Linked DNA regions of Struthio camelus. The protein of the gene in region 2 purifies or fractionates together with the protein of the main gene of each other region. This does not show direct contact. Links are inferred from orthologs where the notes say so. Each region holds a gene or a part of one and is shown on either strand. Other genes may lie near its edges. The genes, in order: FKBP5 and SGK2.

Region 1 (7,304 bases), on a different chromosome or scaffold from region 2:
GCCCGCCGTGGGGCAGAGCCCTGCCCGGCCTGCCCTTCATCTCCCGTTCTTCTCCTTTCTTTCTGTCTTTTGGTTTTTTTTTTTTTTTTAATTTTTTTCTCAGCGGCGAGATAATCCAGGAAAATGTTTGCGTCCTTCCAGCCGGTGGAAGCGTCCCCGGCGGCAGCTGCCTGGAAGGAAGCGGAGGCCGGGCGCCGTCGGGCGATTTCGGGCCTGGGCGATGCTGCGGGTCCGGCAAAGCCTCCGCTTAAGGGTGCCGGGGGTTGGGGGGGGGGTGAGGCCGGGTGCCCTCCGGCTGCCAGATTTTGGCGAGGCTTTGGGAAGAGCCTGGCATCGGGGTCGCGACGGCGAAACCCGGGGGGGGGGATGTGAAAGGCTTTGGCGACCCCTCGTGCCGCCGCCGAAGCCCCGACGGGCCGGGGCCGCCCGGCCCCCGCGACCCCGCTAGCCCGGAGCGCCGGGCCGGCCGCCAAGCAAACAAAAGGAAAAGAAAAAAGAAAAAAAAAACCCCAAACAACCGATTTCCTTTGATCTCCCACGTGCTCGAGAGATTCACTGTGATGCGGCTTTCAGATTTGAAGCCAAACGGGAGGGACTTCTTTTCCCTCCTCTCTCTCTCGAGTGTTCAAGGCAGATTAACTCGGGTTATTTTTAGAAAAAGGACGAATTAAAAATATCCCCGATTCTGTATTTGCGCCCTCCGCTCTCGAGGTGCAGCCGGGGGGGGGCGCCCATCGCCGGGGGGGCGGGCGCCCATCGCCGTCGGGGAGGATCCCGCCGGGCTCGGCCGGCGTTTTGCGGGGTTTTGCGGGTTTTTTTTTTTTTTGCGGGTTTTTGCGGGGTTTCAGCGCGGGGCCCCCGCGCTTTTCGGGCAGGACGGAGGGGTCAGGGCGCCGGGCAGGACATGTGCGGCCAGCTGGATGGCCGGGGGGAACAGCCCGTCCCCCTGGCAGCGACAGCAAAGCCTTGGGAGATTATTTATGGTTTTTCTGGCTCCGGAGGAGCAGATTTCCTCCGAGCTTGTGTTACAGGCCCCGGGGGCCGGCGGCCGCCTGCGGGGCACATTCGGGACCCCCGAGCTGGCAGGGAGCCGGGGGGGGAGGATAAAGCATTTTGCAAACTTTCTCGGCCCCGGTTTCACCCTGGACGTGCCGGTGCGCAGCCCTGATTGTTTTGCAGAACATTTTTTTCCCCTGCGGCTCCTGGAGCACCCCGGGCTCGGGCTAGCATCCCCCGAGCGCTTATTGCCGCGGCATCCAAACGCCGCATGAATGAAAGGCTCCAGGGATAAAATACCCCTGGGATAAAATGCTCCGGGGATAAAATGCTCCAGGGATAAAATGCTCCTGGGATAAAATACCCCTGGGATAAAATGCTCCGGGGATAAAATGCTCCTGGGATAAAATGCTCCTGCACACCTGCAGCGATGCAAAGCACAGCCCCCCTCCCCGCCCGCCCCATCCCGTTTCTCCCTCGCGGGCACGTTTGCCCAGGGAGCGCTAGCGGCTGCAGCCCGCTCCGAGCCGGTTCGGCTCCCGTCCGGCCCCGGCCCCGGCCCCGGCCCCGCTCCGCGCCGCCCAAGACAAACGAGCGCCGCGAGGCTCCTGTTTTGCTCGAAATTCAAGCGAAATTCAAGCGAAATCCAAGCGCCGGAGCTGCGGGCTGAGGACAGCGCGATCTTACATAACGCCTGGGCGGCGATACCCAGGCACAATAGGGTGAAGCGAGGACAGAGCGGCTGCTTTCACCGTGAATTTCCTGCCTTTTGGAAGTTTGCGTCAGGCTCGCCGCTTTAATGTGTGTGTGTGTATATGTGTGTATTTTTTTATAATTGAATTTCCTTTTTAATGCGGCTGTGAAATTAGGAAGGGGGGTGGGGGACTGAGTTTGGAGCAGCGCCTCTGCCCCGGCTGCGAGGCGGGCGGCAGTAGCACGAGGACTCGAAAGGTCTCTTAAAAACACACAAAAATAACACTTGCCAAGTATTTTGCTTCCCCCCGCCCTTAAACAAACAAATCGACCGTTTTTGTGGTGCAGCGGCAACCAGCGTGGACCCCCCCCCCGACGGCCGCCGTCGGCCTGGGTGCGCTTTTCCCAGGCTTTGCCGTTACCCCCCCCCCCCCGGCACCAAAAGAAGCTGCCAGTTTGGGGAGGGCGCGTTTGGAAAGCCACAACGTTTATTTGGCAAGTGGAAATGTAAAGCCCTCCGAGGCCGGGCCGGAAATATTTCAAAGCAGCTCTCCAAATCGTGCGGCTGGGTCGCTGCCTCGTGTTCCTGAAAGGGCGAGATTCCCCCCCCCCAACCCCCCCCGGCGTTTCGGCTTTGTTGTAACGCATGACGCTGTCAGGAAGATAAATCTTCAACTTTTTTATTTTTTTTTTTTAAAGCGGGCTTTAATTTGAACTCCCTATTTCCAGTGAGTGCCGTCGGTGTCGAAATGACAGCTGGGGGGGGGGGAAACCAAAAATCGAATTCAGCATCAAAAAACAGGCGCGCAAGAAAGCATCGATAAAACGAGCCGTCCATTAAGCCCGTCCCCGGGCGGGTGTATTGGAGGAACGCGTGGGAAACGGGGAGCAGGACGGGAACGGGGCACACGAGCTCGAACGCCCGTCTAGGAAAACGCCCAGCGTGGCGTTTTCGCTCGGCGCGGTGGGCCAGCCCGGCGGCCTCCCAGCTCGGCCGCGGCGATGAGCTGAGGTCCGCAAGCAGCGGTAGGATACTTGTTTAAAATGCATTTTTATTTTGCCTAATCTCACATGTCGACGCCGCTCCTAACAAAAATCTTACCTGCTTTAAGCCGAGCGGTAACGTTTTTTTGCCTGTTCCAACAGTCGGCGTGTCCCCCAACAGAGTGCCTTTCCATCACTAGCTTTCAGACTTTAGCGCAAGTTTATTTTCCTGGTGGGCTGTGACCCATAATAACCCCCGGAGCGCTGCACGGCGCTGGGGTCCCCCGGGACATTGCACAGGGCTGCTTCATCCTCGGGCCGTTGCACGGGGCCTGGGACCCCGGGGGGCGCTTCAAGGGCCCGCAGCAGCCCCGGGGACACTGCAAGGGGCCACGGTGTCCCCGGGGTGCAGTGTGGGGCCGGGGTACCCCTGAAGGATTGCATGGGGTTGGTTGGTCCTGGGGACACTGGGTGGGGCCAAGATCTCCCGGGGGCCATTGCACGGGGCTGGAATTGCCCTGGAGCGCTGCACAGAGCTGACCCCCACCCTGGGGTGCTGCATGGGGTCGGGGTAACCCTAGAGTACTGATTGGCACCCCGGTGCCCCTGGGGGACATTGCACAAAGCCCTCGCCCCCCCTGGGCATTGCACGGAGCTGGATCCCCTGGAGCATTGGACGGACCCCCCCTGGGGCATTGCAAGGGACTGGACCCCCCCCCCCCGGGGGCATTGCATGGAGCTGGATCCCCCGGGGCATTGCAAGGGGCTGGATCCCCTGGGGCATTGCATGGACCCCCTCCCCCCCCGGCGCATTGCACGGAGCTGGATCCCCTGGAGCATTGGACGGACCCCCCCCGGGGCATTGCAAGGGACTGGACCCCCCCCCAGGGGCATTGCATGGAGCTGGATCCTCCTGGGCATTGCACAGACCCCCCTCCCGGGGCATTGCAAGGGGCTGAATCCCCCGGGGCATTGCACGGACCCCCCCCCCCCGGGCATTGCCCGCCCGGCGCTGGGGTCGCTCTGGCTTTGCCGCCGCTGCCCCAGCAAGTGCGCGGGGCGGGGCGGGGCGGGAGGGGGAGGACCGAGGCGTGGAGGGGGGGGGTGGGGAAAACCTCCTCATTTGCATAGCGCCGCCACCGAGCCAATGAGAAGGCGCTGCGGGCAACATCGGCCGAGACGGGCAGGCGGGGCGGCCAATGGAAGGCGGGAGAAGGGGCGGGGCGCAGCGGCCGGGGAGACTCGGGCCGGCGCGGGCGCGCGCGGTGCCACTCGGAGCCGGGCGACGCAACGGAGCGTGAGCGGCACCGGCGGGGCAGGTAGGGCCGGGCCGGGGGGGGGCGGGGGCTGTGTGGGCCCTACAGGGGGCTGGCGGTGCCCTGTGTGGGGCAGGGGGGGCATATGGGGCCGGGGGGGGGGCTTTGGGGGCCGGGGGTGCCCTGTACAGGTCTGTGTGAAGCTGGAGGGCCCTATATAGGGCTTGTGGGGGGCCCTATATGGGGCTGGTTGGTGGGCTGGATGGAGCTGGGGGGCACTGTATGGGTCTGTGTAGGGCTAGGAGGGGGGGCTCGTATGGGTCTGGGGGGATCCTCTATGGGTCTGTGTGGGGCTGGAGGGGGGCCCTCTATGGGTCTGTGTGGGGCTAGGAGGGGGGCCCTCTATGGGTCTGTGTGGGGCTAGGAGGGGGGGCTCGTATGGGTCTGTGTGGGGCTAGCAGAGGGAGCTTGTATGGGTCTAGGGGGGCCCTCTCTGGGTCTGTGTGGGTCTGGGGGGGGGTCTGCATGTGCCTGCAGCTCTGTGGGCCTGGGAGGTCCTGAATGGGGCTCTATGGGGCAGTGGGGGTAAGGGGGGTACATAGGAGGTTGGGGGGGGTCTGCAGGGGGTTAGGGAGGGTGCCAAGATCTGCACAGGGGGGCTCTCCGTGGGGCTGGGGGGGGTCTGACTGATCCCTTCCCTGAGGAGGGGGTTGGTGCCTCCGGCTGTTGCAGTGGTGGTGGTGGTGGGGGGACAGGGTGGGGGCCTCGGCCCCACAGCCCCCTCCCGGTGCCGGGACGGTACAGAAGTGGAGGAGGGCGACGGGACGGGACGGGGGACCGTGGGGCCTCGGCCAAGGCGAGGGGCAGGGTCGGCCCCGAGCCGCAGCCGCGGTTTGGGGCACCCGAGCCCAGGCGCGTCCCCCACTTGGCGTTGGGGGGCCCTTGGGGTGCCGGCCCCCAAGCCGCGCGCGCCCTGCTTTAGTTCGCCCTGCCCGAAGGGGCAGCGCCGGGGTGCTCGCGTCGGTGTTTCCTGGCTTTAGTGTGCTGTGTTTGTGATACCAGAGCCCCCCAAGGCCGCAGAAGCTGATGTCCTTGCCGTACTTTACTGCAAGCGCTTAGCCAAAAAGTTTAACTTTCTTCTTTGCTCTCTGCGAGAAATTTCACTTGTTTCCAGAATCGTGTGATGTCTTTATGCGAGTAGTGACCGCGAGTCATCTACTCTCGCTGCAGGCAGCCCGGTGTCTTTTGCCACCGGCTAGTTCTCTAAAACGTACCAAAACCTCTGCATCAAATAGGAGTCCATGTCCTTTAGTTTGTGACAATGGGGAACTACCCAAGGGAGGTTATTTTTTTCCCCCGGTTATAAAGGCACAGAGTTGTCATAAAATGGGGTTCCTCTGCCTCGTTACTAATGTTTTCTCTAATAACATCTGCCAAAAATATTGTATAGAATGTGAACATAAATATATAGTTTCACTTGGAGTAATTATAGCAGATGGCCCAAGGTTAATGTACTTATTTTTCTTTTTTTTCCCCCCTATACTCCTACTCTTTTCCCCTCCTCTTAGTAGACAGAATAGCTCTTTTGAAGCTACTATTTTCTAGTGTGCAAACGCATATTCAGATAAGCGTATTGTTGTCAAAAAAGAATATTTTACGTGATGAGCTAGAAGAGCTTTTGAAGGATAAATTCATCAGTCGTGCATTGCGGCTCTGCTTGGAGAGTTCCAGTTGAGGCTCTGGTGCTGCAGTCAAGTTTCTGTCTTCGCTGTGAAACTGTGCATGTTAAACAAACAGGGCTTTGCCACGGTCAGTTAATACTGCAGATGAGGCTGGTGAGCTGCTATTTTGTGGAATTTCCTTCCATCAGACAAGTGTATTGAATCTAAATATACGTCTAACCCCCCCCACCCCCGCCTCGAATCAGGATTTGATACTTTAGTATTTTAAAGGTAATGTTTGTTTAAACGATGGCTTTCCGTAATGAGTCGTTAAGCTGGATTCAGGACGTCACTGGGGACCAAATCTGTGCTAGAAACTGGGATTACAAGTAAAAAGTTGAAAGCACAAATTGTTCTTTCCTGCGAAATGTATTGGAGCCACATTGCTGCTTCTTCCTCATCCTGCCCCGTGAATGTACTTATGGGGAAGAAAGTTAATTAAATCTCCTAGAACTTTTATCCAGCTTTTATTGGCAATTTTCAGAGGTGGAATAGCTTTTGACCTAATTAAGGTATTTCTAATCAGAATATTAACCAAGGATTTGCTTTCAGTTTTGCCTGAAATTGCTGAACGTTGTCGTTTTGTGACCTGAAGTGCATAGATTTTATATTTGCAACTTAGTTTTATCCCGTTGGTACAACACAACTTGAGAGGATGTAAACGCCAGCGAGGCAGAAGAAACGCTTGCTGCAGTTTGTAAAGGGTTAACTAGGAGTAATGGGGTTGAGTGAAAATAACATTTCTGCGCTGCAGAAGAGTTTTACAGAGCAAAGATACTTTGCAGGGCTGAGGACTAGCATTGCAGCGTTATATAGGACATGATGAACGAGGACAGCAACATCTGAGAAGTTGGAGGCTGAAAGCAGAAGAAGGACGAAATGTTACAATAAAACTGCGTGTTTAGAGTAGTCGCAGGTAATCCTGTACTACGCAGCGTGCTTGCAAAAGAGTGGAGCCTTTCTGCAATGAGAGGAAAAGTGTTGCCGGTATGGAGGAAACTGGGGAGCAATCTGCCCTCCTTTCTGTTCCCAAATCCGGTTATTTTGGGGAAAGAGCTTAAACACCCCATATCATAATTATCTGTAAAATGAGGATCAAGATCCCATTCTCTGGGGTTCTCGTGACAGTAAATCGAACCACAAATTTTGCTTGGCTGGGCAAATTTGTAAATTCCCATTTACAAAAGGGGCAACTCCCATTTTTGGCTCTTCCCTCTTTGCAGTGCTGTAAAATACCTAATATCTTGTGCCTTGAGGCACTGTTGCTGCCGTGAGGAGGACGCGTGCCCCAAAGCAGATGGGAACGTGCACCCCGGGGCCCTTCGGCGGTAGGGGGACCAGGGAGAGGCGGGCGAAAAAGGATGACTGTGAAGGCGTGTGTTGTTCTCCTACCCTCTCCTACCTGGAGAGGAAAGGTGCAGGGCATCAGGAGGCAGCTGCTTGCGCAGGGATAATCAAGAAGTAGGGATTTTTAGGAGAATGACACCTACAGCAGAGTAGTATGAGAGGAAGGCCACGGGATGGGTGTTCTGGACAGGTTAAGCAAGCGGCGCTCGGGCTGGGGAAAATGTGATGATGGTGTGGGGAAAAAAGCAGATTTTGGTGGAATTGGTACAGAAGTTATCACTTCTGCTGAACCCCCCCCGGGGGGGAG
Region 2 (8,439 bases):
CGAAACAAAATTGAATTATTTGGGTAAAGCCGGAGGCCAGCTTATGTCGGCGTTAGGGTTTGCCAGCATTGCTTTGCCCTTTGTGTGGGGCGGATGTTTCCCTGCCTTCCAGGGAGCATATCTGCGCCAGCTCTCGCTGGAGGTCGGTCCAGAGGTGATTAGCCGCTCTTAGATGGTTTAACCCCTGCTGTGCACATGGCGCCTGCCACGGCTGGGCTTCATCAGACCACGGTGGCAAAGTCAGGCAAACTGTCTGGGAGCAAGCCGCGGCTACAGAAAGCCGATTTTTCGGTTGCGCTGGGGTAGCGCAGAGCCTCTGGACGTTGCCAGAGCTTGGAAACACTTTCCCTTGCACCTCCGGGAGGGGAAAGCTGCCTTTACATTCCCAAACGCTAGAAAGAAACGAACGGTGGGGCATGCGGATCCTCCGCGCTGCTGAGCTTCGGCCCTCCTGGCCGGACCGGCTGCTGCCGCTCTCCCCTATGGAGGCTGCATTTCTGCCTGCTCCAGGGCAAGACGTTTCTGATGGACAACGGCCCCAGCCCACACACAGAGAAGCACCTCCTCTCCCTCTCTCTCTCATTGCTACTCCGTTTTATAACCTTTTGTATGCTTTTCAGCTATTTTAAAATGCTGTCCTGTCTTAATCTCTTTATATACCAATATCCATAACCATAATCATAAATGTATCACTGCAGAGGAACTACACAGTCCTGAGCACTCGGAATTGCAGGGAAAGGTCCAGATAAGGCTAAAACAAACATTTCCCTAGAGAGCACAGTTTTCTTCAACTTGCAGTGAAAGCTGACCTCAAATGCTTAAGGCACTACTGGGAGATGTTTGGCTACTCAGTTATCTGTGTTTTGTAAGGAATAGAACAGCACAGCACAGCACAGCTCTTTAAAAGGTCTCAGCCTATTTCCTCAACTTTAGAGGATTCAAGAAAGACTAAACAGATTTTTGGTGACCAATTGGGGTTTTTAATTTTTTTTTTTTCCTTTCTTCTCTCCCCTTCTCTTTCAGCTTCAACAAGCAGGGCTCTGCCCAAGTTATCCCCCCTTGATTTTGCCAAGGAGTCTCACACAGGTGCTGGGAGGTTTTCCATGTTTTAGTGAAAGGAGCCAGGAGGAGAACGCTCTGGCTCAGGTTTCTGTTCCACAGGGCCGTCGTGACCAACACTTGCTACTTTCTGTGCCTCAGTTGCTACAACTATGAACGTGGTAGAACATCACTAATCCCTTTTGTAAAGCCTTTAACACCTTCAGAGGAAAATACCAGCTGATCTTATTACTACCATTAAATTAGTTAGCTAGGACTTGCTCCCAAGTGCTTTTTTTTTTTTTTTTTTTTGAAGTGTTGGCACAATCTCAAAGAATAAATAACAGAGTTGGAAGCAGCCAGACTCTAAACATCTCCTCCTCCGCCAGCTGCCCAGGCCAGTCCGCGGGTGATGTTGCAACTCTCCCGTTTGCCATTTTCTCCTCCCCAGCAGCATTTTGGAATAGCAACAACAGCATTTGTTGCTGTGTTACAGCCTAAGTTTTGGGAGCTTTCTTAACAAAACATGGGGCATTTTGAGATAAATTCACCTGTAAGTAAATCTGACACATGGTGCACATGCAGGGCTCCTGCCCACAGCTCAAACCTTCAGGTGTGACCAGCATGACAGGGACGAGGGCAGAGAGGCAGTTTCCTGGCAGCATCCTGGGTGGACTGAGCAGGGCATTACAGCTAGGAGATAGCTCCTACAGCTACACTTTGCAAAAAAACAGGCCTCCGCTCTGCTGGCACGGCACTGGGTTTGTCAGGAAAGCTTGTGGATGGAGCATCCCCAGGAACGCCGACCCGACCACCTGCCCCCAAGACTCTGAGCTAAGCCCCCATCCTGCCCTCTGCCCTGCTCCTTCCCTTCCCCACAGGAATGGGGATCTGCCATGGAAACCTGGGGAAGCAACTGGTGCTGGCATGGCAAGAGATTATCTCCAACAGAGTTAAACAGTGAAATACCGGATCCCGCAGCAGCCCAGTCCAAACTGGGTCAAGCGCTGGTCAAGGAACTATCATGGGCTGTGAGCCTCTGTGCAAAAGCAGTAACTGTTGGGTTAAAATCCATCCAGTCACCCGATACCCTCTGAATAAAACAACAGAAAACATAGGTTTGTGCATGTAGCCAGTCCTCAGCTCTGCTGAACCTTTATTCCCTCCACTCTGGTGTCAGACTCTCATGTCTCATGGAAACAGCCTGCTCTGCTAGAAGGGGGAGTTAGGGGTGACCCAAACAAGGGGTGCTAGACACAGCAACCTTGATCTTCACGAGGTGCAGCCCAGCCACAGAGAGGCAGCCTGGGAGACCACAGCCAAAACTGCCAAAAGTTTCTGGTACAAACTAGTCCTTCTTGTGCTGGCTACAAACTCCTAATGCAGCCCAAGCCTCCTCTGCCCGCACAGGCTGCTTGGGGCAAGATATGTCACTAACTACCTCTACGGATCTGCCAGGTCAGGAAATCAGATAAGATCAGAAACACTTGTGGCTGCTCTTCAGGTCCCAGAAATACAAGTTGAAGCAGGACTAAGGACATGAGCAGGGGACAAAAGCTGCTTTGCCCCCTGCTCAGGGGTTTCCTGGTAATTGCTGCCCTGGGGTACCCTATTTCAAAGCGAGGAACCTCTCCACCCTCCACAGCATTTCCAGGGGGTCTAAGGAGGCTGTTACTCTCCTCTCTCTGAAGTTGCAGGGATTCATGTGATCTTCCATAACTGGGAAACAAACCCAACTCTGGAAGTCAAGACACCTCCCCCCATGTCCAGCTGCTGTCCCTGAGCTAGACCCACTGTGGCCGTGGACCAGGTCTCCCATGAGCCAGTTCCTCTCTGTAGCTAGTCCCTAGTAAGGAATGAGACCTTCACAAAAAACTATGCTTCTCCTAAACTAGTTCAAGTCCTTAGGAGCAGAGAAAGTCACCATCATCAATAAAAAAAAGTAAATCAGCTTTACCGGCCGAGGAGCAGGACTTCTGAGTTCCCAGGAGCCAGAGAAGGTGGGCAGCTGCCCAGCGCCAGCTGCAGAAGGCAGCATTTACTTCTCTCCCTCCTGTTGTTTTTATTTTGGTGATTTAGTCTGAAGGTCAAAGGAAAGTCTGAAGGAGTGGCTTATGGCAGGAAGTAAATGATTACCCTGTCATCACTTAGAGGGGCCTGAGGCACAGGAACTGGGGTGGGAGAGAAAAAAATACCTCCTTGCAGGGACTTGGAGGGCAGCTCACCTCAAAGGGAAGTGCAAAGGGTTAGAACAAAGTGCTCCATTTTCTGGAAGCTATGCTGGGTCACATGCCAGGTCCTAGTAGAGGTAATGAGGCATGCGTCACCTCCAAAACACCAGCAGCGCCAGGCAGCAGGGATCCGGTAGAAGTCCTGGATCTGGACATGATCCATCATTGATCCACCTGAGCTTGCTGGTGAAGGAATAGCTGTGCAAGGTTGTCCATCCACCATGGATCTTTGTCACCTTGCAGCACAGCACGTGTGAGCCTTCACTAGCCCTTGCATGGGGGCTTAGCTGGACAGGAGATCCAGGGACGTTTCCAAGCTTGAGCTTTGCGGGTACAACAGACCTATAGCCTCATTTTTGTCTCCTGCATAATATTTCTCTGGCTCCATGTTCTCCATCCTGCATGACACACTTGCTCCTTGTTCCTCTCCATTCCCCTCTGGGCCTGCCGGGTCCCCTCTGTAAGCTCTCTTCTTGCATTCCCAGGTCCCCTCCAATCTCCCCTGTGAACACCCCGCTCCACTCCATGCCCCCTACTTGCACTCCCTGTGCTGAGAAATACCCCTCCGTGGAGCTGTGCTGGCTTCACAGACCCTGAAGGAAGTCTGCCAGCCCACCTCCCTCCTTGATGGCAGGGACAGGAACTTCACAGCAAGAGCAGGACATGCCGCAGGATCCTCTCCCAGGGCCTAAGGCAGCAACAGGCACCCTGGAGAGGCTGGGGTACGTCACCAAACCTGCCCAGCACCGCAAAGGACCGGCGGTGCACTGTGTGGACTCCTATGCAGCTGCCTGGTTCAGCATGCTGATGGACTTGCTGCTTCCCCCCCCCCCCTTTTTTTTTTTCTTAGCAGAGGCTAAAGGACAGCATTTCTAATCACAGCTGCTATGGACCGATTACTTCAAGCATAAGCACTGTGGTTCACCCTAAATGTGTTTTCCCTCTGCCCTACCTTATACCACCAGCTAATACCACCCTAAGGAAACCTGTAGCTCCTTGCCTGAAATACAAACTTCGTATGCATAGGGCATTTTCTGATTATGCGGGAAGGTTTCTTTTGACTTAAAAGATCTTTTGCATCCGCCCCTCTCATGGAGCAGGACCATGACATTTGGGTCACACAGCCTTGAAAAAAAAAAAAAAAAAAGGAATTGCATCACAGTTCCTTGCATGTTTATCAACCCATTTACCTCTCCATCCCCACACTGGCACATATACCTCCCAGCTGGGCCTGGGGAGTCCAGCTCAAAGAGGAGAAAGAAAAAGGGTTGCTGTAAAAAGAATAGGGTCACTCTGTATAAGGGGAGGCCGTTAGAAAAGGAGAAGCGTGAGCTGAGGCAGGATTTGAATACACAAAAGGGCATAGAGATGTGATTATAAAAATTAGCAGATGGACAACATCAGTTAGAAGAAAACATACAGCTGCCATCAAAATAAATATTTTTGGGAGCAGTCTTAGATATACAGTTTGAGGAATTCGAGGTTCTTTAGGCCAAGACAGTCAATTGCTGTTCTTGCCAAGGTCACTGACTCCACGTACCGGGGTAAAATGCAGAGCCATAATTATGCCTTTTTGAGCTCTGGCACCATAACCACCATGCAGAGAGGGAGTGGGCTAAGCCTTCCCCTCACTGTAGCTCCCTTCGATGTTTCTGTTCGGTGGTACAGCAGTACAAGTGCATGATGATAATGAATATCTTATATTACACTGGTGTCTAGGGGGACTAACCCAAATAGAGGTCCCTATTGTATTTGAAGAACTGTAAAGACAGAGAGATAAAGCAATCTGTTTCCTTCCAGTGCAGAGAAAGCCTTTGTTTTATTCATTTCCAGAGTGAGAAGGTTCAGTACAACACATGACCAAAAGCTACAGACAAAAAGCCATTTGGAATAGAAATCGTGCTTTCCCATCATGCTAGCTTTTCAGAAAGTTTCTTTGTCTGATTCTTTGCCATTATTCAGGATTTGTTTTGATCACCTCACTGCATTCCCTGCTTGAAGGCTGCACATCTGTGGCAAAATTGCGTTCACACAACTTGCACTAGCATCAGCACGGCACCAGGATGTCTGCTCCAGCAGGCTGGGCCTGGCCTGTGCGCATTTAAAGCCCGAGTCACAAGGGCTGCACAAACAACCGCACTCATTTTAGCCTCGGACAAGTTTAGAGGACAAAGCCTCGGCTTATTGCTTCAGCTCGCTGAGCGTGTTGGTTTCGCAAGCAGGGCGCTGCACATGCGTCAGCCGCGAGCGTGCAGCAGCAGCCCGACAGAAACGCGCAGGAGGGCGCTTGAGCAGAGCTGACAGCACGACAAAGCCTGTTTGGTTTTTCAGAGTGATCTCTGACTTCACCACAGCTGGAAACTACAGCGGGCCAGACTGAGATGCCCTGTCATCCTCTGCATCCAGCACAGCCTATTCCAAGGCATCACAGCGGAGGCCTAACTGCCTTGCAAAGGGGATTCCCACCTCCGCAGATCCTCCTTCCTGCCAGCATCCCAGGTCAAGGGAGGACAGGAGCCATGCAAGCAGAGCAGTGCCAAGGGTGCCGGGCCGGGAGCACTTTGCTTGGTGCACGTCAGCTCAAAAAGGAGTAGGCAGTGTCCTCTCTGCTCCCAGGAGGTATGTGCACGCACAGGTCTGCACAGCGGCGTGTTTCAGAAGTAGGACCTACGAGTGGGAACTGTCTCTCTAGCCCAGGTAGCTCTGTTCCCGTGGGAGCTGGTGCATGAGGCAGGCTGCTCGTAGGCAGGACCTGGGTGCACACACCTCATATCGAGCAATGGTCTCTGCTCATACTTGCCTGGTTTTTCCCATGGCACAGGTCAAGGGAGGGAACAAGGAGGCCTCAGCTGTTCTGGCTTTCCCCCACCATCCTGGTAAAGGCACAGACCCTACTACAGCCCCAAATACCCTCAGAGCAGGAGCCATTTTTGTTCACAAGAAAAAAAAAAAGGTTTAAATTAGACTTGAAACCTCTGCAAAGCTAAAGTGCCATAAGACATTTTCCATCATCTTGTGCCCTAAACCAGAAAGCCTTTAGCCCCTGAAAAAACACAAAAACATCAGAAAAGTTAGTCTGTGAGCATCCTCCATTCACATGGATGCAGCCACCTGCAAGGACAGGTGAGCAAGCTGTGCTACCACTGCAGCAGATGCAGATGTCTTGGGCACATCCATTTGCCTCCTGCAACCTGAAGGGGGAACACAGGGAGGAGGACCCTAAAACCACAGCATACAGATGCACAAAGAAGCAGGTAAACTTCCCAGGGGTCCTCAGCTCCTCACTTACTCCCAGGGCCCAAAGGGTTATCTCAGCCTGACAAGGGGCAGGGAGAGGGGGGAACGACAGGGAGGATCTCCTCCCCTGCTGGTCCCTTCACAACACCCTAGGGAGAAAACCGAGCTGAAGCAGGTCACAGCAAAGAAGAGCAACAGAAACCAAGGAAGGAGGTGTCTCAAAGGAAAGGTGACACCAGAGCCCGCACCTACCCCCTGCCCCGTTACCGCAGGCTCCGGCGCGGAGGGAGCCCGGTGATGCCTCGCCGGCCGGGGCCGGGCGAGGGCGCCGCGCTGCCGCTGCTGCCGCCGCCGCCGCCGGGGACTCCGGGAGCGGAGCAGTGCAAAGGGAAGGACGGGCAGCCGGGCGGGGGGGGCCGCTTTATACTGTCTCCCGGCTTCGTTTTACACCAAGGTGGTTAGTTAATCGCGGCTCCCCTGCTCCTCGTCGCCGGGGCAGGATTAGGAGATGAGTTACAGGTGCGTTTCCCCACGGAAGGGGAACAGAAACGCGGCTCCTGGCACGGAGCCGCCCCGTGAGGGGTGGAGGCAGAGGGTGGCTTGTCCGAGGGGCAGAGACCCACCGCGGAGCCTCACGCGTACAAGGTGGTGGTGGTGGGGGGGGGTTGTCCTCAGCCCACCCGCTTCTGAGGCCTGGCCACGCGTGGGATGCTTTTCCCGCACGCAGAATTAACCTGCCTCAAGCCAAAAGCTTCCCTCTGACTTCCTGCCGGAGACGTGCGAGGGATGCGGGCTCATTTGATGCGAGGAAGGGAAATCGCCCCCCCACCTCCTTCCTGCAGCCCCTGCGCCCCCCCCCCCCCCCCGCCGGAGCCGATTCCGGCCAGCCGCCGCCCCCCGAGCCGCCCGCCAGCGGGGCCGCCGCCGCGCACCGGGCCCCTCCCGCCCCAACCCCCGCCCTGAGGCTGCCCCTAACGGGGGCTCGCACACAATTTGGGGGGAAATCGAAAGAGAAATCGCTTCTGCTAACGCACCGCTACGCCTGGGGTGCGGGGCTACGGGAAGGGCACCGGCGGGTCCCGGCGCTTGCAGACGCTCCTCGGCACCCCAGCAACGAGCGGACAGAGGATTAGTCGTTGCGTTGTGGCTTTTGAGGCCGCCAGGGTTTTCCTGCGGTGGATCAAGCCGCTGGGGCACGGATGCGCCCCGTCGCATCCCGCCGCCGCCCCGGCGCCGAGCCGCGGCCGGCCGCAGCGTTTGGGGCGAGGCAGGGCTCAGCCGAGAGCTTCCTTCAGTCGAGGGGTGCTCGGAGCTCGTCGTTTCGTTTCGTTTTCTCCCCCGCGGCGTGTGTTTGTTTGTGGGATGTTTTCCCCTTCACAAGAAGGAAAGGCTCGGGAGGCGTTTGCAAACGGCGTCTCCGAGCGCCGTGCAGCCGGGCCGGGGCAGCGGCCGCCTCCCTCGCCGGGCGGAGGACGAGCCGTTCACGAAATGCAGATTTCCGACCTGTTGCAAGCGATTTAATTCGACAGTTAATGAGACACAAGCGTCGGGCTGCGGTGCTGTCCTTGTTAGCGGGCGTTATCACTGCCCGGACCACGCTCTGAAACGGGCGATCTGCCCAGGGCCAACAAACGTGGCGAAAAGAAACCTCCGTCTGTCCTTCCGTTGCTTAAAAGCAAGCGAAGCTCTTCCACGAAGGGCTGAAAGCGAAGCGGGGATGCTGCGCTCTGCCCCCCAGGGGTGTCCCGCGGGGACCGTGGGAAGCTGCCGAGGGAGGGAGCGACCCTGCCGTGCCGCCTGCCCGGGGGGCCGCGGGCAGCTCGCCCTTCTCCCCTGCTCCCTCTCCAGCACCGCAAGCACGGGGGCCACTTGTCCTCCCTCCGCTCCTGGCCCTGCCCAGCACCTGCGAGCCCCCAGCAAACCAGGCCAGCCG

The links.
Region 1: the proteins of SGK2 (region 2) and FKBP5 purify together in Homo sapiens (affinity purification with mass spectrometry; 3 studies listed by BioGRID and IntAct, with this or other methods). This does not show direct contact. The link is inferred for Struthio camelus from reciprocal best matches to the Homo sapiens genes SGK2 and FKBP5.

Annotation. Positions count from the first base shown.
Region 1 is NC_090965.1:5,058,542-5,065,845, forward strand, and holds the start of FKBP5 (peptidyl-prolyl cis-trans isomerase FKBP5), read left to right. Parts: upstream 1-3,882; 5' UTR 3,883-3,992; intron 3,993-7,304. UniProt on the Homo sapiens protein: Immunophilin protein with PPIase and co-chaperone activities. Component of unligated steroid receptors heterocomplexes through interaction with heat-shock protein 90 (HSP90).
Region 2 is NC_090959.1:5,804,826-5,813,264, forward strand, and holds the start of SGK2 (serine/threonine-protein kinase Sgk2), read right to left. Parts: upstream 3,106-8,439; 5' UTR 2,996-3,105; intron 1-2,995. UniProt on the Homo sapiens protein: Serine/threonine-protein kinase which is involved in the regulation of a wide variety of ion channels, membrane transporters, cell growth, survival and proliferation.